Linked DNA regions of Rattus norvegicus. The main gene of each other region encodes a partner of the protein of the gene in region 4 in a complex. Links are inferred from orthologs where the notes say so. Each region holds a gene or a part of one and is shown on either strand. Other genes may lie near its edges. The genes, in order: Ecsit, Tmem186, Acad9, Ndufaf1 and Tmem126b.

The links.
Region 1: Ndufaf1 (region 4) and Ecsit share a complex: the UniProt entries of both Homo sapiens proteins name them as parts of the mitochondrial complex. The link is inferred for Rattus norvegicus from reciprocal best matches to the Homo sapiens genes NDUFAF1 and ECSIT.
Region 2: Ndufaf1 (region 4) and Tmem186 share a complex: the UniProt entries of both Homo sapiens proteins name them as parts of the mitochondrial complex. The link is inferred for Rattus norvegicus from reciprocal best matches to the Homo sapiens genes NDUFAF1 and TMEM186.
Region 3: Ndufaf1 (region 4) and Acad9 share a complex: the UniProt entries of both Homo sapiens proteins name them as parts of the mitochondrial complex. The link is inferred for Rattus norvegicus from reciprocal best matches to the Homo sapiens genes NDUFAF1 and ACAD9.
Region 5: Ndufaf1 (region 4) and Tmem126b share a complex: the UniProt entries of both Homo sapiens proteins name them as parts of the mitochondrial complex. The link is inferred for Rattus norvegicus from reciprocal best matches to the Homo sapiens genes NDUFAF1 and TMEM126B.

Annotation. Positions count from the first base shown.
Region 1 is NC_086026.1:28,891,559-28,895,770, forward strand, and holds the start of Ecsit (evolutionarily conserved signaling intermediate in Toll pathway, mitochondrial precursor), read right to left. Parts: upstream 2,809-4,212; 5' UTR 2,757-2,808; intron 1-2,756.
Region 2 is NC_086028.1:7,488,330-7,492,408, reverse strand, and holds the start of Tmem186 (transmembrane protein 186), read right to left. Parts: upstream 2,811-4,079; 5' UTR 2,654-2,810; coding exon 2,651-2,653; intron 1,383-2,650; coding exon 735-1,382; 3' UTR 1-734. Other genes in the region: Pmm2 (phosphomannomutase 2), read left to right, coding at 2,919-2,972. UniProt on the Homo sapiens protein: As part of the MCIA complex, required for efficient assembly of the mitochondrial complex I.
Region 3 is NC_086020.1:120,874,319-120,877,830, reverse strand, and holds part of Acad9 (complex I assembly factor ACAD9, mitochondrial), read right to left. Parts: intron 2,480-3,512; coding exon 2,386-2,479; intron 1,294-2,385; coding exon 1,192-1,293; intron 510-1,191; coding exon 403-509; intron 1-402. UniProt on the Homo sapiens protein: As part of the MCIA complex, primarily participates in the assembly of the mitochondrial complex I and therefore plays a role in oxidative phosphorylation.
Region 4 is NC_086021.1:127,101,214-127,105,236, forward strand, and holds the start of Ndufaf1 (complex I intermediate-associated protein 30, mitochondrial), read right to left. Parts: upstream 2,808-4,023; 5' UTR 2,595-2,807; intron 2,120-2,594; exon of another isoform or gene 2,069-2,119; intron 1,596-2,068; exon of another isoform or gene 1,544-1,595; intron 1-1,543. UniProt on the Homo sapiens protein: As part of the MCIA complex, involved in the assembly of the mitochondrial complex I.
Region 5 is NC_086019.1:153,857,837-153,862,141, reverse strand, and holds the start of Tmem126b (complex I assembly factor TMEM126B, mitochondrial), read left to right. Parts: upstream 1-1,503; 5' UTR 1,504-1,571; intron 1,572-3,099; coding exon of another isoform or gene 3,100-3,157; coding exon 3,158-3,293; intron 3,294-3,629; coding exon 3,630-3,741; intron 3,742-4,305. UniProt on the Homo sapiens protein: As part of the MCIA complex, involved in the assembly of the mitochondrial complex I. Participates in constructing the membrane arm of complex I.

The DNA.
Region 1 (4,212 bases), on a different chromosome or scaffold from region 4:
ACCTATTTAAGGAGAAAAAAAATCCAACTCTTTTTCCAGTATCTCCCATCTTGGCCCCAAATCTCCCTCCACTCCCTGCTTTCTTTATCCTTAGAGCTTCCCCTAAGCCATGATTACACACTGGTTCCTCCTCCTCAGCAGCCTGACGGCTGCCCTAGTCCTGTCAGTAATGCCCGCCCAATGCACCGCTGTGCTCAACACTTTGAAGGCAATGACTTTGAGGTGTCAACTTCCAAGTATCAGACAGTGACGTCCCCTCCCTTATAGTCCTTGCTAACATCCTTGGGTTTCTCCCTGGCACCCGTGCCTACTTCTCAGCCAATCATGAGATGCCTTTCAATGTCAGCATTATCTGCAACACTGCCAAGGGTGCAGACAAATGCCCTGGGAGCACAAAACCTGTAGATTCAGGCTTAGTGGAAACATGACCATACTTCTGACAACTTTTATCAACAGCTGCTGGCCTAGGAAATGTAACTAGACTGGACTCAGGCTGGGACTCTATAGACCTGGCCTAGACTCCTCCAGGGAGCTGCTGGGCCCAGTGAGCCTCTGCTAGATTCCCCTAGTGAGTGGCTGGAACTGAGACTCAGTGTTATCTAGAATCCCCCACGGAAAGGCTGATGGTGTGGCTCAAGGTAGGTACTTGCTTGGTATAGTTGGATAAAAAGACTCTAAAACCTTGCAAATTGTGTTCCAGGACCTGTAGAATGTTGGCTGTAACTCAGGTCTACTGCATGAGAATCTGCATTGTAACACCCATAGGTGGCTCCTCATGCATTAGAGTTGTTAGTGTTTATGCTCATGGTTCCCTAATGTTTTTGCCTCCATACCTAAGTATAACTTTGGTACAAACCAGCCATGCCAAACTCCATCCAGGGAACACTGACAACACCTTTGCTGACTGTGCTTCTCTGGAGGCCAGCCAGTAGCACCACCCTTCCTGGTTATTCAGGCCCCAATGTAAGAATTGCTCAGCAGTCACTATGTCCCTATTCAGTCAATAGATAGTCCTGGAGACTACTTCCAAACCTATCCCCTTGCAGGCCACCATACCATTCCACAGTGATTTCCTGCATACCTTTCTGCCTTCTCTCTGCCCTGCTAGTTACTTCCCTCCATTGCAAAAGGAAGCTCTTAACAACAGAAACCAGTTGTGCTGGAAAGATGGATCCATTGGTAAACTGTTTGCCCTGAAAGAATGAGGACCTGAGCTCCAGCACCCATTACAAAGCCAGGTGAGGTGCCATGCACTTGCAATCTGAGGAATCTGAGAAAGCAGAAGCAGGCAGGCCCCTGAGCTCCCTGCAACAGAGCCCTGAACTCCCTGTAACAGAGCCCTGAGCTCCCTGCAGCAGGCCCCAAAGCACAAGGTGGACAGCTCCTGAAGAACAACATCTTAGGTTGACATTTTTCCTCCATACATGTGCTTACATGTGTACATGCACTAACATACATCCCTGTACCCACACAGGAACACACAAGAATGCTGGGTGTGATAGCACATACCTGTAATCCCAGCATTTGGGAGACACAGGCTGGCGGATCTGAGTTTGAGGTGAAACCAATCTATACAGACAGCAAGTTCCAGACCAACCAGGGCTACATAGTGGGACCCTGTCTTTAAAAAGAAAATGTGCTTGAGATAGGTGTTGTGTGTGTAAAGCCAGCACTGGGGAGTGTGAGGCAGGAGGATGGCCTCCAGAATCAAAACAGCTGGAGATCGTTAGTGAGCTCCATGGCAGTCTGAGCTACAGAAAGGTCCTGTCTAAACTTTAAACAAGAGCAGGGAGAGAGAATTCAGCTGGGAAAGGAACTTGCTGTCAAAACAAAGCAAACCTAATGACCTGAGCTCAAACCCTGGAACCAACCTAAGGTGTATGGATAAAACCTCAGAGCTGCCCTCTGACCTGCACCATGCACCATGGCACATGTGTCCCACCCCCCACACCATAACCAAAATAAAACTTCAAAGTAAATACACATCGGATGGCTTCTACCTGCTGTACTCCCCCTTTCTCTTGTAGCACCAGCTACACTGTTTCTGAAACAAGACAAGTTTATTGGTTTCCCAGGCTTTGAACTTGTTTTACCCTCTGCCTACTGTTTACTGTTTTGGTGTATGCCTATAATCCAGAACTCGGGGGCTGAAGCAGGAGGACGATCATGATGGGTTCGAGGCCAGCTTGGGACACATAAAGACTCTTGAATCAGGGAAAAACACACTGCTTGCAACAATCACTGTTTTGAAATCACGAGATTACCTGTTCTGTGTGTGTGTGATTTGCTCAATAATTGGCTCTCCTAGATAGTACTTTTTTAAAAAATCTGTTTTTCTCATTGTTGTGTCTCCACCAACTGGGTCAGTGCTTGGCACACTGTAAATGCCCAACACCGATCAACTGAGTGTGAATAAGCAGAAAGTTTCTACAAGACATGGATAAATCGGAACAGCGAGGTAGCGTGTATGTATGCGTGTGGGCTGGCACGATTTTGAGTCTCTGAGGCTGGAAGGTTCCAATGCCTGCCTCACAGACAATGTACGTTGCCCGAGTCCGCTATCCCATCTGTGAAACGAACGCCTGCAGCAAGAGGTGCCCAGCAACCTTTCCTTGCTCATTCCCAAGCCTGCACCTGAAAAGGTCACAGTGCCCTGACTGAGGTCGAGTTGAAGGTCATATTCCCCGGCTCTACCAGGCTTGGAAGTGGACGCCCCAATCCCAGACGGTCCCATAGCCCTCCCACGCGCGACCCACCTACTCACGCGGCCACCCGCACACCCGAGCAGGCTAGCTGGGACCGCTGGGCGCCGTCATGTTGAGCCACACAGCTTCCGGTTACGAGTCGAAGGTGACAGCAAATCAGAAAAACCTGTGACGATAGGTCCCGCCCTCAAGTGGAGATCCACCAATAGGAAGGCGGAAGACACTGGTTTCTCCTCAGGAGCAGGCCCTGCTGCTCACCGAACTCTAGAAGCCTTGGGTACCGGTGCGGAGGCGCTGGATCGGGTTCCCCTACGTCTGTCCGGTCCAGTTTTCTCCGCCGTGATGGTAAATTATTGTTACGGACTGGAAGCACCACATCCGGTTCGGAGCCCATGGCCTCTTGCGTGCTAAGCAAGCACTCTACCGCTGTCTGCTAAGCCACAGCCTAAGTCCCGGGATTTATTCTTATTCTTTTTACTAAACGGGTTTTTTTAGTTTGGTTGGTCCAGTTGTTTGAGTCAGGGTCTTGCAGTGGTACTCAGCCTGGCCTCAAAACCCTGGATTCAAGAGATCCTCAGGGATCAGCCCCCTGAATAGCTGGAACTTCAGGTGGGCAACACTGCCAACAGCTTTAACAGAATGTCAAGTTATGTTTATTTTCATTGTGTGTTATGTGTGTAAGTAAATCTGTGTGAGCACGTTCGTGTGGAAGTCAGGACAACTTAGGGGGAATGTTCTTTCCATGTGGGTACTGGGGATGAAACCTGGGTCATCAGGCTTGGCTATGAGCACTTTTACCGCCCCTAAGTAACAATTTTTGAAGTTTGAATTCATCTATGTGAAATGGCCATATAAGTACAACAAGGGCTACTGTGAGAAAGGACATGCATTCCTGACACCCCTCTCTCCCTCCCCAACTGGGAGTCTAGATTGACTCTTCAGACCACCCACACTGAGAGCTTAGAGGCCTATGGAGTGTATGTGTAGATGATTGGATGGCCCTGGATTTGTTGTATGTGTGTATAGATAATAGCGATTACATATAGATATATTATTCATATGCATACACAGACGCATACACATATACATATATTGATTGAATATAGGCTTTTTTTTAACATTGTTTTATTTTGCGGGTGGTGCATGTGGCGATAATTTGCTATAATCTATCCTGGGAGTCCCAGGGATTGAACTCAGCCATCAGACTTGACAGCACTTTACCAAGCTAACCTGCCAACCTCATAAGTAATCATTTTTAAGACAAGGTCTTGTGCAGCCTGGACTAGCTTTGAACTTCTGTGTAGCTGAATTTGACTTATCTGATCTTCCTGTCTCTTTTGTCCTGGGATTACAGGCCTATGCCACCACACATTGTCTCTGTAGTGCTGGGGTACAGTCCAGAGCCTCTGACATTGTAGGCAGTTACTCTACCAACTGAGGTATAGCCCCAGTCCTTTTGTTTTGCTTAGACAGGGTCCTGCTGTGTTGCTTGGCCTGGCTAGCCAGG
Region 2 (4,079 bases), on a different chromosome or scaffold from region 4:
TAGCTGTGGCCATTCAGCTGGTGAGCCTGAGGACCAGTGATGGACCCCAGTGGCAGCCTGGAAGCCTTGCTCTACGTTGTAACTTCTGGCTGCTTACCTTACACACTGGTTTTGCCTGTTCATGGTGCTGGTATGGAACTTAGGACTTTACACATGCTAGGCAAGAGCTCTGTCACAAAGCCACAGCCACAGCCATTATTATTTTCATATCCGTCCTCATGAGAGGAAGGGTCTTCCATCTCAGAGTGCAATTCAAGGTTCAGGAACTCAATACCCTGTCCCAGGTCAAGGAACTAAGGCTCAGCAGAACCCAAGTCCCCAGGCTCCACATCCTATGCTCCTCTGCCAACCCTCCCACCTTGCAGCTTCACAGCAGCGGGCTGCCTCGGCGATCTTGGCATAGTGCTCCTCTAGGAACTGCCTCTTCATAGAGACTTCTGGCCACTATCTGACAGGATGTCCTATATAGTATAATGTTCCACTAAGGGCTTTTTCCTAAAGCTGGTTAATGCCTTCCTTTTTGGCCCAAGGCAACCTTGAACTTCTCCACCTGCCTATGTCACCAGTATTGAGTACAGGCAGGCACAGTCATGGCTGGTTCTATGCAGTACTAGGGACTGAACCCAGGATGTGAAGTCCTACATGCTAGGCAAGCAGTCTACAAAGTGAGCATCAGCCCAGTCCCTGGTATTAGCTTTTGTCTCATCCATGTTCTTGACCAGGGCTACAACGGCCTACTTGCTGTTCTTGAGTGTGGCCAGGGTTCCGAATACTTGTGAGAAACGATCCCTGTCCAGGATTCGGCCATAGCGTAGGGTGAGGTAGAAGGTCTGCTTGCCACTGTACTGCTGGATACGCACGAACACATCCTGGACCCGTTCCTCGGATTCTGACAGGGGTATCATGTCTGACACGGCACAGTATGTGTCCTGTCGCCAGCCCCAGAAGGTCAGGTGGGCCACTCGAAGCAAGGTACCTGACTCATTCACATAGAGGATGCCTACCAGTCTCCGGAAGAAGTGGCTCATCCAGCACAGCATGACCAGGGCAAAGCTGGCAATCCCACTCATAAGGCCCAGTGAGCTGAGGGTCATGAGGCCTTGTGAGTAGCAGTAGAAGCCTGGGGGCAGGGCCACCACAGTCACAGCTGTCTGTGCCAACTTCAGCCGAGACAGGAACCCAAGTGCTCTGATGGCATTGAAGCGGTAGATTGTGTGGAATTTTTCAGTCTCTGTGCCTGGTGGCTTCTCCTGTGAGGGGGGAGACCTGCTCCCCACCCACCTTATGGAATCCCCCTGCCCAGCACGGCACCACAGTTGCTGTAGAGGCCTCCTCCATGCAGCGGGCCCCTGCAGCCTTGGCACAGCTCGAAGGAGGAAAGCCTGGAAGAGAGAGGTTCCTTTCAGAAATCATCCAGGCTAATCACACAATGAACAAGGCAAAGCATCTCCCAGAAAGGCTTCAACCAACCCTGGCAAGACACCGTGACTGCCAGAGGAAAGTAAGTGATAAAGCCAGAAGCTTTATTTTTTGTGGAATTCTACTCTAGATAAGTACCATTCTCCCATTTTTTACAACTAAATAAGCAAGCAAACAAAACAAAACCCTAATCCTAGCCAGTGAGATAGCCCATCTAGAACTGGGGCTTGCTACCAAACCGGGTGAATTTGATCCCTGAAGCCAACATGGTGGAGGAAGAGAAATTACTCAAGCAGGACATCCTGGACCCCTACATGCCATAGCACAAGTAAATGCACACGAACTAAACACACACACGATTAAAACAAATTTTAAAAAAGCATTAAAAAACAAAACAAAACAAAAAAACCAACAACACCAAAAAAACCCTAGGCCCTCCCCACCCCTGGCCCTGGCCCCAAGTGCAAGGAAACAAAAGCAGTCTCTGACACTCAGACAGGTCCTTTCCCCCGAGCAGGTCCAAATAAACATAGAAAACCTGTACGTCCAGCCATTCAACAGAGATGGGCCAACAGTGCACTTAAAACTTCCTTCCTTCCTCAAAGGGTAAATCAATCGGTGTCGGAAACCCACACAACAAAACCATGGGGTACTTATCACAGAACCTTTGCAGTCCTCTGACTGCCTTACACGCCAAGAGAATTTCTTCGCATGAATTAGCCTGGTTGGGAAGCAGAGAAGTGAGGCACGGAGGCCCTCAACACACTGCACAATGACTGTCTGGAATAAGTAGAAGAGTGAGCAAATTCTGGGCTTCAGAGTAAGAGGACACTAACTGTGCATCCTTCATCTTTCCAAAGAAAACCTCAGAATACGCTAGGGAGACATGGTTCTTTTTTTTTTTTCTCTCTCTCTCTCTTTTTTTCGGAGCTGGGGACCGAACCCAGGGCCTTGAGCTTGCTAGGCAAGCGCTCTACCATTGAGCTAAATCCCAACCCCGAGACATGGTTCTTAAGCGCTGAACTTGGTGTGCGCACTGGGACGATGAAGACCGTCCATGTGACCCAAGGGAAAGAAACAAGGCAGAGAAATAGCACGTAAAAATACACTCTGGCCTTCCACCGACTGATTTCCCGAGTGGGCAGCCCAGGTATCCTTCCTGCCAGTCGTAGGCCGGACCCGGTCGCTAAGTGCGGTCCCTCCTTTACCGCCCACCACCTGACATTCCTACCATGAGCCTGTCGCCTGCTACAGGAAGTACGCCGACCTTGTCCCCGGAAACTTGAAGGGCTCATGCGCGGGAGGTTAATGCGCTAACTCAAGGAAAAAAAAAAAAAGTACTACGGCTTGGGAACTGTAGTTCAAATTTTGTATCCGCCCCGAGTGTCCCGTAAGCCATTAGAGAATCTTCCCATCGTGCCTTGGAGTTCCGGGGCTCGGAGCGGACCCGGAAGTTCCGGGTGGAGTTCCGGGTGCCAACGAGTCTTCTGACTGGAGAAATGGCCACGCTCTGTCTCTTTGACATGGATGGGACCTTGACTGCCCCGCGGCAGGTAGGCGGCGCCCGGGGAGCTCCTGGTGGTGGGGCAGAGCCCTTGCTGCCCCAGACCGCCGTAAGGACTGTCCGGGAACCAGTAGACCTAGGTCCTGAGCGGGGTCCTGAGTGGGATGCGCAGGAAGAGGGGGCCAGAAAAGCCTTCCGAGTAGGAAACGTGTTCAGAGTCGAAAAGTTCGGGTCCGAATTTCTTCTAGGGTTCCTCGGGTCTGGTGTCCTGGATTGAACTCCAGCCTCCACCCTCTGACCTGCTGTGTCACCTCCCCAGCCCTGTCACCTCTGACTGTCTCTTCTAGTATATCAAGGGCAGGTTTTCAGCTGTCTGACCTTGAGCAAATGTCTTTCGCGGAGTCCTTGAAGCCCCTTTAAATGTGATGCTTAGGTGAGGATCACAGAGACTAATTAGAAAGTCCGGTGGGACTTCCTTCCGCTAACCGAACTTGTTATAGCCAAAGATAAGTTTGTGTGGGTTCGTTCTGGTGATGGCATTCTCTCTGCCTCCTATGCACAAATGCATGATTGAACAGAAATCATACAAATGAGAGTAGGCTCAAATAGCTTGGGTGTCGCCACCTCTGCCCCACCCCTTTTAGATTTCGTGGACTGTGTCCCAGAAGCCCCTGTAGTGTGTGTAACCTTAGATATGTCAGTCTATCTTTTTTTTAATTTTTTTATTCCTTTGCAATTACATGTGTACAGTGTATCCGATTGTATTCACCCCCCCCCCAACCTTCCTGTGCTCCCTATGGAGAACACTGACCCACACACCCTCTTCTGTTTTCATGTCCTTTTTAAAATTTTTATTTTAATACCTCTCTAAGTCCAGTTAGTGCTACACACACACACACACACACACCACACACACACACACACACAGCCATCCATCAAGTGATAGGCAACATATCACCCATGCTGAAATGTTAACTGGCTTGATCTTGTACAGGGAACCATGGTTGCTGAATTCATAATGTCCAGAAGACAGCATTTCGTTTACCACACTTCTCTCCATCCTCTAACTCATACATTCTTTCTGCCCCCGAGCCTTGGCAGGGTTGATAAAGGGTACTACTTATTCTTAGCACTTTGACCAGGTATGAGTCTGCAT
Region 3 (3,512 bases), on a different chromosome or scaffold from region 4:
GTGCATACACGGGGGTGCTAGGACTATACACAGTACAGACATGCCCATTCCAAAGCTGTGCTCTTCAACCCCAACCCTGTTGCTAAGTAACTACAGTCTGGAGACTCAACTGTGGGCTTCGATGCCAGACATGGAATCCAATTACCTGCCTTCCACCTGTACACAGCAGAGATGTATGCATCTAATGTTTGCCTTTGAAGCTGCCTTAAAGCAAAGTTGAGGGAGCAAGTAAGGTATATATAAAGACGGGACACCTCAGGGAAGGATTCATCTCTAAAGACAGCACTAACCTTTGTCTCAAAGGGCTGGGCTTCCCCTCCAGACCCCGAGCTGTAAAGTCCATTTATGTCACACAAACAGTCTTGTCTCCTACTCCCCCAAATGCAGCTCCAGACAACTGACCTTGAGGCCGATAGCTTGGTGTGCTGCCAGGGTCACTGTGATGGACGCATCCATGCTGATGATCTCCCCAAGCCGGGCATACATGGTGTTGGAGAGGCCCAGGCCACCTAAGATAGACAGACAGACAGATAGACAGACAAGTCTAGCTGCTTCTCTTGGCTGAGGAAAAGGTATCCATTTTATTTTCCTAATTTCAAAGCAACAGTAGTTTTGTTTTAATTTTTAAAAGTTAACAATCCACAGAATGGCACAATGAAACGTCACCTATACCTTACTCAGCACTTCTGTGCACACCCTCAGATTCCTTCCAGGCAGGAAACACAGAGGAAGCTGAACTGTTAACACAGACACCTACACAGACAGCAGGTCTCTGAGTGTGCTGCCAGTCCCTGTTCTAGGATTCCAACCCAGACGGCCAGGCCAAGGCTCTTCTGCTGTGGCACTGGACTCTTGGGTGCTCGTTTCCTGCCGTGCAGGCTGCCCTGTGCACGGTTTCACCTAGGGCTCCAGATCTGGCTGTGCTGTGGACTTATCCTGTCTGTATACACGAGGGCCCACCTTCTGCTGTACTTCAGTATCTGGCAACACAGACAGGTAAGGAACCATGAAAACCTCCCATTTGCTACAGTAATGGCATCACTTGGGTGTGGCAGGAAAATGCCCCACAGAGCACATCTGGAAGACTGGATTTAAAGACCATGACTCCTAAACAAGAAGCCTTTATGCACCCATGGGAAGCACCTGCTGAAGAGCCAGCCCACCAGGTGGGTGGCCACTGTGCTGACTCACCATATTCTTCTGGGACCTGAATGCCAAAAAGTCCCAGGCTCTTCAACTTCGCTAAGGTGTCAGCTGGGATTTTTCCCTCCTGGTCAATTTTTCGAGAGTCCACTGACAAAAACAAGTTATCTTGATTAAGCAAGTAAAAATAAGTAAGATAAGTTCGTGTTTAATAAAAGTATACAGAATGGTTTTTTTAAGAGTATACTCATCACTGGTAGAAAATGTCTAAAACCCGAAGTTGTTTAGTCAGGCTCCCTCGGCATGTTGTTGATTTTATGTAATTAAGTATGTAAGAACTGTATTCTTAGGTGACTAGTGCTAAGTGTTTCTCCTAGTTTAGGTGCTAGTCACCAGGTTCACGTAAAGTAGCAGTGTATCATGCATGTACTTCTATGATGCAGATTCCTGGAGACATGCTCTCTATGATGGCTCATCTTGTCAGCTGGTTTTAGAATGATTTAGGAACCAAACCTTTGGTGTGACTTTGAGGGAGTTTCCAGAGATGTTTATCTTTAAAAAGACAGTGTGAGAATCTTCACTATCTCACGGAATCTGTATCTTCATGACTGTACACACACGACGGCACTGTCTATGAACACGCACGCACACACACAGGCTCACACTCACACACACACAGATGACACACGCACTCTCTCACACACACGCACCAGTATACACTAAGCTTTGAGAACTCTGAGTGAAGACAGCAGGCTTGTATTGATAGCAATATCCTGTTTGTGCTGTTAAAGGAGCTATCCAAGATGTCACCACTGTGACAAATGGGAAATGCAGACGGTCCCCGAGAAAATACTGGGCCCCAGACCGTGAATGGTCCCTAAAACAGCCGGTACAAAGAAGCTGGCGTGAGCCTTAGGAACATGCATATCATCCCCAGGCATGCAATTAGCAAGTCTGGACCACCTGGCCTCAGCGATTTTCATCTTTTCTAGTTATTCACTTTATCATGTCGTTTGCAAGTTTTAGCCTGAGGCAACACAGAAACATTTAAAAGAGGCTGTACACCAGGAGGACCAAATTAGTATCTTTTAAGTAGGCAGAAATGAGTGATGCCTGCAGGTCCCGCTATGAGCAGAACTATGTGTAACCTAGTAATGACACTAGGAGCTGCTTCTGTCTACAGTGCTTCCAGTGTGTGCAATCTTGTAATGCAAGACAGCAATGAGAGAAAACCATACATACCTTCTTCATTAAAGAATTTTTCCAACGGTCCCACAAACTGATTGATTTCACTAAGCTCTTCTTGACTAACCTCTGGAAATGGGAAAACTCCTTTCTAAAAATGAAAAACATGGATGACAAATTTAATTTTCAGCAACTACTCATTATTGTGTTTATCACAAAGGAAAGAGGGGAAATGGTCCTGGGAAGGAGGCAGAAAGGTGACTTCCCACAAAACCTCAGGTATGGGTCTTAGCTTAGATGCTATCTATAGCTATTTTCCTCCCCATGCAGGTGGGCTGAACCCCAATCTTCAACAGTTTCCTTATCAATACCAAGCGGCAGAGTGTGCCCCATAAGAACCTAGGATTACATTTAGGTGTGTGGAGCCATCAGACTCCAGCAGCACTTGCACTTTCTCACCCACAATGTGCAGGTCACATTCTCTCAAGGTCCTTTTGAGACTTGTAGGAGAGAACAGATACGAGGCTTCCTCACTAAAATGAACCCCAGTCTTTATGTGAGCTCAGATGGTCCCAATGGTAAGAATATATGTTAATCATCCTGTGTGTCTCTGTTTGGGCAGCTGTTTCTTGTGTTGTGGATACTGGCTTCCTGTGCTGAGCATGTGAGGTAGCAGGGTCACAGGAGAAGAATCAACCTGAGCCTAGCTGCTCTATATGTGCGTGACTGGCTTTGAGCAACTTATATGTCCTCTATTGGTGTGTTTTTTCCTATATAATCCTGTTCATCAGAAAAAGTAGCTGTGAGAATCAGAAAGGACATACTTAGGTCCTGAAACATGAAGTAACCATGCCTGTGTAAGATTCCAGCTCTTCTCATGTCCACTCTTCTCCTGGAGAATGACTTGGCTTCTAATCACTAGCGGACAACTTGCCAGGATTCCCTGCTGGCCTTTGAAATCATCCCATAAGGCTCGAGGACCTGTGGCCCTCTGAGTTCTAGCTACTCCTCTAGCTGCTTGGGATAGGGTGTATATTTGGAGCCAGGGCTGCTGAACAGGGACAGAGCACAAGTTTCCAGGCTCAGGAGCCCCCCTATCTCCTTGGTCCTCTCATTAAGGGGAGCCTTCAATTGTCCCTACCCTGTCCTATTACTCACTCTCCTGACTTCTCTACATTAGCACT
Region 4 (4,023 bases):
TCGAAAAGGTATATAATAACAAAGATCTATGACCTTTGAGCCTGTCACCCTATGGGTAAGTACTTGCCAAGTATGTGGGTGTTGTGCTGTATGTGTGGAGGACAGAAGACAAGTGTGTGAGGTCAGCTCTCTCATTCCACTTCTCTATAGCACCAGAGAACAATTCTAAACAAAAGACTACAATATCAGCACATGGTGAAAACAAGCACATACAACAAGAGTCTCTCATTTGAAAGGAGTGGGCGTGGGAAGGTCAGCAGTTAAGAACACTGACTGCTCTTCCATGCAGGTTCAGTTCCCAGCCCCCACATGGCAGCTCTCACCTATCTGTAACTGCCACTCCAGAGCTTCTGACATGCTTACACAGACATACATGCAAGCAAAACATCAATGAACATTAAAAAAAAAAGGCTAAAAGGTGTGAGGGAGGGGGCTGGTAAGATGCCTTATCAGATGAAATGCTGGCACTCAAACTTGAAGACCTAAGCTGGATCCTGGAAGCCATATGAAGGTGAAGGAGAGAACTGATTCCATAAAGTTACCCTCTGACAACCGCCTAATAATAATAATAATAATAATAATAATAATAATAATAATAATAATGATGATGATGATGATGATAAATTTTAAGTCCTCAACAATCTAGTCCACCTGTTAGCTGCTTGAATCTATATCAAAGTGTTACTCATGGCCAAGTATGATAGAATATGCCTGTCATATAGTTTTGGAAAGCTTGGGCAGGAACATCCTAAGGTGAAGGTTAGCACGAGCTACACAATGAGTTTCAGGCCAGCTTGGGTTAAACAATAGACTGTATGTCAGACTGAACTACAGTGAACCCCCACCCCACCTTGCCAACCCAAAAGAAGCACCCAGGCCACTTTAACTAAAACAAAGAACTTGTCATGCTTCTGATAAGCCCCTCTTTTCTCATCCACACATCACAGAGGTCCCCCCCACCTCTCTCTCAGATCACTGCTCTTGTCACAGGGCCACATTTTTTTACTCCCCACTCAGCCTCTAGAAAGACACCAATTCTTTTAACCAATTAAAACCCTTCGAGTACCTACAGGGATAGCTCAGTGGAGTATATGCTGACCATACATGAAGCCTGGGTTTAATCCCTAGTACCAAACAGTTAACAGATGATAGACAGATTCCTCCTGAAGCTCCATGTACATTCACAATAAAATCTACTTCCTACTCTAGACCAGGTCTCCTTGGCCATCACTCCAACTTCACCTCTATGAATTCATTGTGTGTTTCCATCAGACAGAATACTTGTGATCCAACCAACACCTTTTGGACTACACACCTTAGTTAATTGCTTCTCTTAGGCCAAGAATGTTCTTTGCTGATTTTTCCCAAATAACAGATCCCTTGAGATTTAGCTTAGCCATGTTACACCACGGGGGCAAAATTGTTCTTGATTATCCAATTCCACCTAGAAGTGTCCCTATGAATGAATTATTCCCAACGAATGCTGGCTACAGTTTACTGACTTTTTCATTTGTCAATGTCCCCCAACCCAGACTGTAAGTACCTTAATGGTTGACTATTCAATGCTGTATCTCCAGGTCCCAGTATGATGCTCAGCATTCTGGAAATTTAATATTTTTGAACAAGCAGCTCCACATTACTTTATCTCTGTCACAAGTGTGAGGGTTCTGAATCTTATGGCTTTTACCACACCTATATAATTCCCTCTAACAAGGGGCTTCTTAAACTTTATAGTCCCTTTAAATCATCTGGCAATTTTGATAAAATGGGCTTCTAATAAAGTAGACACAGGTCTTGAATCTAATCCTTCCTCAACCTAAGTGTTAGGATTACAGACATTTGTTACCATGCCCAGCCAAATAGATTCTGTCAGTCTTTTTCTTTTTGGTACGAGCCCCATGTGACCCAGGTTGATCTTGAACTCCTGATCCTCCTGCCTCTACCTTCCAGGTGAGGGCTCATCAGCTCATGGAGAACACCTTTTAAATATCAATGTCCTGGTAAGATTTGGGTGCAACTTACAAAACCCAGCTCTTGGGAAGTAGAGAAACAAGGATCAGGAATTTACCATTTTCTGATACGTAGAAGGTTCAAGGGCAAGGTAGTCAGCATGTGTCCCCTTTTCGAAGAAAAAGAAAAATTATAAAAAGAAAAAATTTTAATAGGGGAAAGGACTTAAAGTAGTAAGAAGGTAAAATGGTGGGTTATGAGTAACATTATTAACCCTGTTTTCGAGACATTCAGATCTTATTACTTTTCTAACAATACTACAACTTCGTGTTTTGTTTAGTAATTTCTTGCAAGAAACTCAAACTCAGTAACCAGGTGACATCGGTCCGAAGCTAACGGTGAGTTTTTAATAGGGTGTTCACATCGCTCCTAGTACTATGACTGTACTACTATGTACAGAAACGACTGTTAATCTAGGGCTTACCATGTGCCAGAAACTATTCTCCGTGTGTTTTTATTGATTTCTCACAATAATCCTGATCCTGAGACGGGTAACTTCTAGTATTATTCCAATGACAAAGACTAACGAAAAGGAGACTCCACAATTAAATTATTCGAGATCACAAACCAGAGACAAAAGTCACTCTGAAGACCAGGCGTTCACCTCTCGGCTGGCGGAGTTAACCACGTCCCCAGCCTCCGGAAGCTAGGCGCTCCCGAGGAGTGACGGCCCCTCAACCCTCACCTGCCAGGACTCTTCCCCGCCTCCTTGTCCCTGAGTTTCCCATCTAGGAGAAGGGTCAGCTTACCTTCTCAGACCCCCCACATATGGCTTCCGGCCAGTCCTTCTGTTTTCTCCGCCCGGTTCTCCACGCTTCCGGTGCAGGTCCATCTATTTTTCCCGTCCGGCACCAAACTAGGTGTATAGAGTTTCAGGTCGTACAAGAGTACCAAAAGGTATCCTAAAGCATGGGACAACCTGAGGCTTTTGGTATTCAAAGTTCCCCAGCGGGTTCGCTTTCTGAAATTTCCTGTCCTTTGTGAGCGAGCTCTTCGCTCTACTTCTTGTAATCCGCCCTCATATGTAAATATCAATCCTTTTATTTTTTCCTTTTTCTTTTTTTCGGAGCTTGGGACCGAACCCAGGGCCTTGCGCTTCCTAGGCAAGCGCTCTACCACTGAGCTAAATCCCCAACCCCTATTTTTCAAGCAGGATCTCCGCACTACTAACTCCTCTTCACTTGCCTGGCCACTTGTGTGTCTTCCCTGTAGTCCCTTGAGAACTGTCTGCTGTGTGACTTCAGAAATCCACTTAACTGCTTCTGGAGAGCCACTGTACACCTAGATAGCAACCAATCCAGGCTTTCCTCAATCGTGCCCCCCACATAATCCACACAGGAGAGCTGTTGCATACGTTGTGCACACTTCAATTAAAGTGTTTTCCAACTTGGGGTTCACAACCTGTGTCCCAAGTCAGCTCCCATCACCCATCCTCAATAAGTCAATTAAAAGAGCCAAATTAAAAATTAAAAGCAAGACTAACATGGTAGCCCACACTTTTATTCCAGCTCTGGGAAAGCAGAAGTATTTGGATATCTGGGAGTTCAAGGCCATAACTCCTGGTAGCTATCTAAGTATAAGTATATAAGTATGAAGGTGTGTGTGTGTGTGTGTGTGTGTGTGTGTGTGTGTCTGCCACAATCCCTCTAATTACATTCAACTTTCATCCCATGGAAAGGTTGAGGTCCCTTAAAACAGTCTCTGCCTTTTTAGTCTGTCTTCCCACTAATTTTTCCTATAAAAACTGTGAAAATCTTTCCCAGAGACAAGTCAGGGGTTTGTTCCTTCTTCCTACTTAAGATTCCTTGGGAAGCTCCCATTTCTTTGAGGTTCTTTGTTTAAATCATCTGATAGATTGAGAGACGCAAAGTATCTCTTTAGAGTATCTTTATTTTTGCTAGGCTAGTTCCTGTGCATATGTAAGTGCAACATGTGTATTTGGTACCCTCAGGGGCCTGAAGGTATCAGAACCAATGAATAGTAGGCACCATGTGAGTGTGAGAACCAAACCCT
Region 5 (4,305 bases), on a different chromosome or scaffold from region 4:
ATTCCTCTGTCCGGGCTTCACGGTATAACACATAGCGATTTCTGACAAAGACTCTGCTTTCTATCCTAGGACCTACTAGAAAACTGAACTACAACATAAAATCCAAGATAACCATGAACTAGACCAGAACAATACCCCTCTCTGATTCATTGTTATTGTTGTTGTTGTTGTTGTTGTTGTTTCTGTATTCTCCAAAGCATTTCCTGCTCTCCTACCTACCCTTATATCCAAAAATAATCTCCAAAACAGGCTCAGGCTTTGATGAGAGAAGACAAGTGTGGTGGTTTGAACATGAATGGAACTCATAGACTCACATGTCTAATAATCCCATAGGAAGTGACATTATTAGAAATGTGGCCTTGTGTGTCACTAGGGTAGGGGGCTTTGAGGCTTCCTATGCTCAGGCGGGAAGGAGGTTGAAGCTTCCTGTGCTCAGGGTACACCCAGTGTGGCATACAGTCTCCCACTGCCTTCAGATCAAGCCAGCACTGAACCTCTGAAACTGTAAACCAGCCCCAATTAAATGTTTTTCTTTATAAAAGTTGCTTTGGTCATGGTTTCTCTGCACAGCAATAAAACCCTAACTAAGACAACAAGAAATCTTTGTCAACATACAGGTACTATTTCTGCTGATACTTCAAGAGGATTAAAAATCAGGGCCCTCTACTCTTTTGGATTGAACAGAGGAAGATGTGCTGAAGGAAAACAAAATCACCATCTCAGTGGCAAGACAAGCTTTCTGAAACTCAATTTTCCAAGCTATTGTCTTAGTCATTGTTCTAATGCTATGAAAAGACACCATGACCACAGCACCCCTTATAAAACAGACTTGCTTATAGTTTCAAAGGTTTAGTTCATTATCATTTAATAGCCCTGGTGCTAAAAAATTATATCCTGACCCACAGGCAGCACAGACAGACAGACAGACAGACAGACAGACAGACAGACAGACAGACAGACAAGTACCTGACCTGACAAAGGTTTTTGAAACCCCAAAGCCCATGTTCAGTGAAACACTTCCTTAGACAAAGTCACAACTGCTAATCCTCTAAATCCTCATATAATGCCAGTGCCGTTCCCTGATGGCTAAGCATTCAAATACATGAGCATATGGGGAGCCATTCTTACTCAAACCACATATGTAAACACAGAAATAATAGTTTTCCCAATTTTTATGTAACTCACAAAAAAAAAAAATCAACCCCACTGTAACAAATAAGAGTCCAGTAAATACTATTTTTTAAAATATGTGAAAGCGGATAACACAGTACCTAGAACATTCCTAGACTCTAAGTGTATTTAGTCTGAATATAGTTTTATAAAGTTTTGTTTAATATTAGTGTGGTTAGCTGTCATGACTCTGGAATTTTGTGTTTTCCAGGACATCAAGATGGCACTTTACAAGCATGGTCGGCTGATTCCCTCTCTAGGAGATGCGAAGTTCGGAAGACCAATGATCGCTGAAATCTTAGAGAAAAAGTTTGAGTCTTATAGAAACGACCAGTAAGAGACACAGTGATAACTGACCAGCGACTTTACTTGTGCATCCTTCCTATTCCCAGTCTCTGAGGGTTAAGAAACTATTTGTTTTTTGCTTCTTCTCTTTGTCTCCTCAAAACTTTTATTTCCTGGGTAGTGTCACTGTGTAACATTTTGCCAAAATGTTTTTCCTTTAGGCTTTCAGTTTTTCTTGCAACTATTCTGCCTCTAATGGCAGCCTGAATTGCTTGAGAATCTTCTAGATCAGTGATTCTCAACCTAGGGGGCATGACCCCTTTGGAGGTTGCATATCAGGTATCCTGCATGTCATATGTTTACATTACAATTCATAACAGTAACACAATTGCAGTTAGGAAGTAGCAACAGAATAATTTTCTGTTAGGGGGTCACCACAACATGAGGAACTGTATTAAAGGATCTCAGCATTAGGAAGGTTGAGAACCACTGGTCTAAATATTTACATATGGGAGTGGTGGGGTTGAGGAAAATTGGCAACAATGAAGTTCCAAAAGATGCCTTTACAAAAGTCCTGAAAACACATCTAGTAAATAATAGAAAAGCTATTTATTGAGGTGGTTACAAACTGGACAAAAATGTCAATGAATTGATATGTTGGCTTATTAGACTTTAGATAAACTCTTTTGCTTCTTTTTATAAGGCTTATTCTGTGTGTGTGAGAGATAGACAGATAGACAGACAGACACTATATGCCATTTATGTCTGCACATGCTAGAAAGCTTCTGGGGGAAGCTAGAAAAGAGCTTTGGATACCATGGAACTGTCATCAGAGGCTGCTTGTAAGCCCTAAGATGTGGATCCTGAGAACCAAACCCCTTCTTTTGCTTTTTTAAAAAAAAAAGCCCAAATTTATTGCTGAGATACTATTTGTACAAATATTTTTTAAATTAAAAGCAATTAGTATGAAACTATTTTGAAGGCTACTTGTATTTTACTGATGGACAGTTATGATTAAAGTCAGTTTAGCAAGGCTAGAGTGATGGCTTAGAGGTCAAAGCTCTTCATGTCTGAGGACTGCATTTTGGATCCCCGAAAACCCGTAGAATTTCCAGGTGGATATAGCAGTTCAAGCCTTCGAGGCAAAGACAAGTGACCCCCAGAGCAAGCTGGCAGGCAATACTAGTGTGAGCTCTAAGTTTAAGAGACTGATGCTCATGATCTCAGCCAAGGTACTGGGGATAAGGATGACTAGAGAATGTGGAAAGGACTATGGCATGATGACCTCGGACTACTATGGTGACTTTCAGTAAAAGAGCTCAAGACTAAGCTAAACAACAGGTATACTTGAAAGCTTTCTTCATTCAGGTCAGAGCCAGAATTAAGTAAAAGCAAATCTGGCAGATCTCATTCATTGAAGTTTTATAAACCACAGATAAATTATTTTAGATGTATCTGGACCAGTTCACAAATGGTTCTTTTCTAGACAGGCTAACCATGTGAAAATAGCTTTTATTCTAGAGGATCTTAAACAATTTTCTTTCATTGAGACAATTATTTTAATAACAAGAAATACTAGATGCTGGGTAAATATGTGACTCATTTCAAGAATGCATGCTAAACTTCTTTCTTTGTTCCTCTTAGGACTTTAAATATACGTGGAACTTTATTCTTTGGAGTAAGTAGTAGTTTGTCTGGCGTTATGGCAAACTTAGTATTCAGATACAGTTTCAAGGTTAAGTATGAAGCTTTGAGGACCTATGCATCCCTGACTACCCTTCCATTTGTGGCTACCGCCGTTACTTACAAGCTCTTTGTGACTGATGCTCTGCAATCAGGTAAATTTAAATTCATCAGTATATAACGTAACTATAACAAATTAAAATTGAGGCCAGCCTGGTCTACAAGTTCCGGGACAGCCAGGGCTGTTACCCGGAGACACTTTGTCTCGAAAAATAAAACAAAACAGAAAAAGCACATATGAATGGTAATCCTCCATATGCTAACACACAATAAAGAGTTTCAGAACAAGGCACCGGGCTTTGAATTCCTAATATTCTATCTACTGTTTACCTTTAGTTGCAAACAGCAAAGTAAGTGTGCTTTGATAGACAGCTTCATTTTAACAGTTATCCTAAATCTTAAAGAAAACTAACTTTTCTCTCCCTTCCTAGGTAATATAAGCCAGGAAAGCTGTGTTCTGAGAAGCTCACTGATCGGCGTAGCCTGTGGGGTCTCCTATCCCAGTGCTTTGGCTTTTTATAAAAATGGACGCTTAGCAGTTAAGTAAGTAGTCCATTCCTTCCCTTCCTCTTTTCTTTATTCTTGTTCACCTAGTTCCCACACCTCTCCCCTTCGTGTGTGTGTGTGTGTGTGTGTGTGTGTGTGTGTGTGTGTGTGTGTGTGTGTGTGTGTGTGTTGGGTTCTGGGGATCAAATTTGGTCCTCACAGTTGAGTGAGGACCTAAGCATTTTACTGACTGGACTATCTTCACAACCTCCCTCTCTCCTTTGTTGTTGTTGTTGTTGTTGTTGTTGTTGTTTGTTTGTTTGTTTTTTGTTTGTTTGGTTGGTTGATTGATTTTTTTAATGGAATATATTATTTATTTACATTTCAACTGTTACCCTCTGTCCCAGTTTCCCCTCTGGAAGCCCCCATCCCTTACCCCCTCCACCTGCTTCTATAAGGGTGCTCCCCCACCCACCCACCCACCCACTCCTGCCTCCCCACCCAGGCATTTCCCTACACTGGGGAAATCAAGCCTTCACAGGACCAAGGGCCTCTCCTCCCATTGATGTCACCACAAGGCCATCCTCTGCTACATGGTAGCTGGAGCCATGGGTCTTTCCA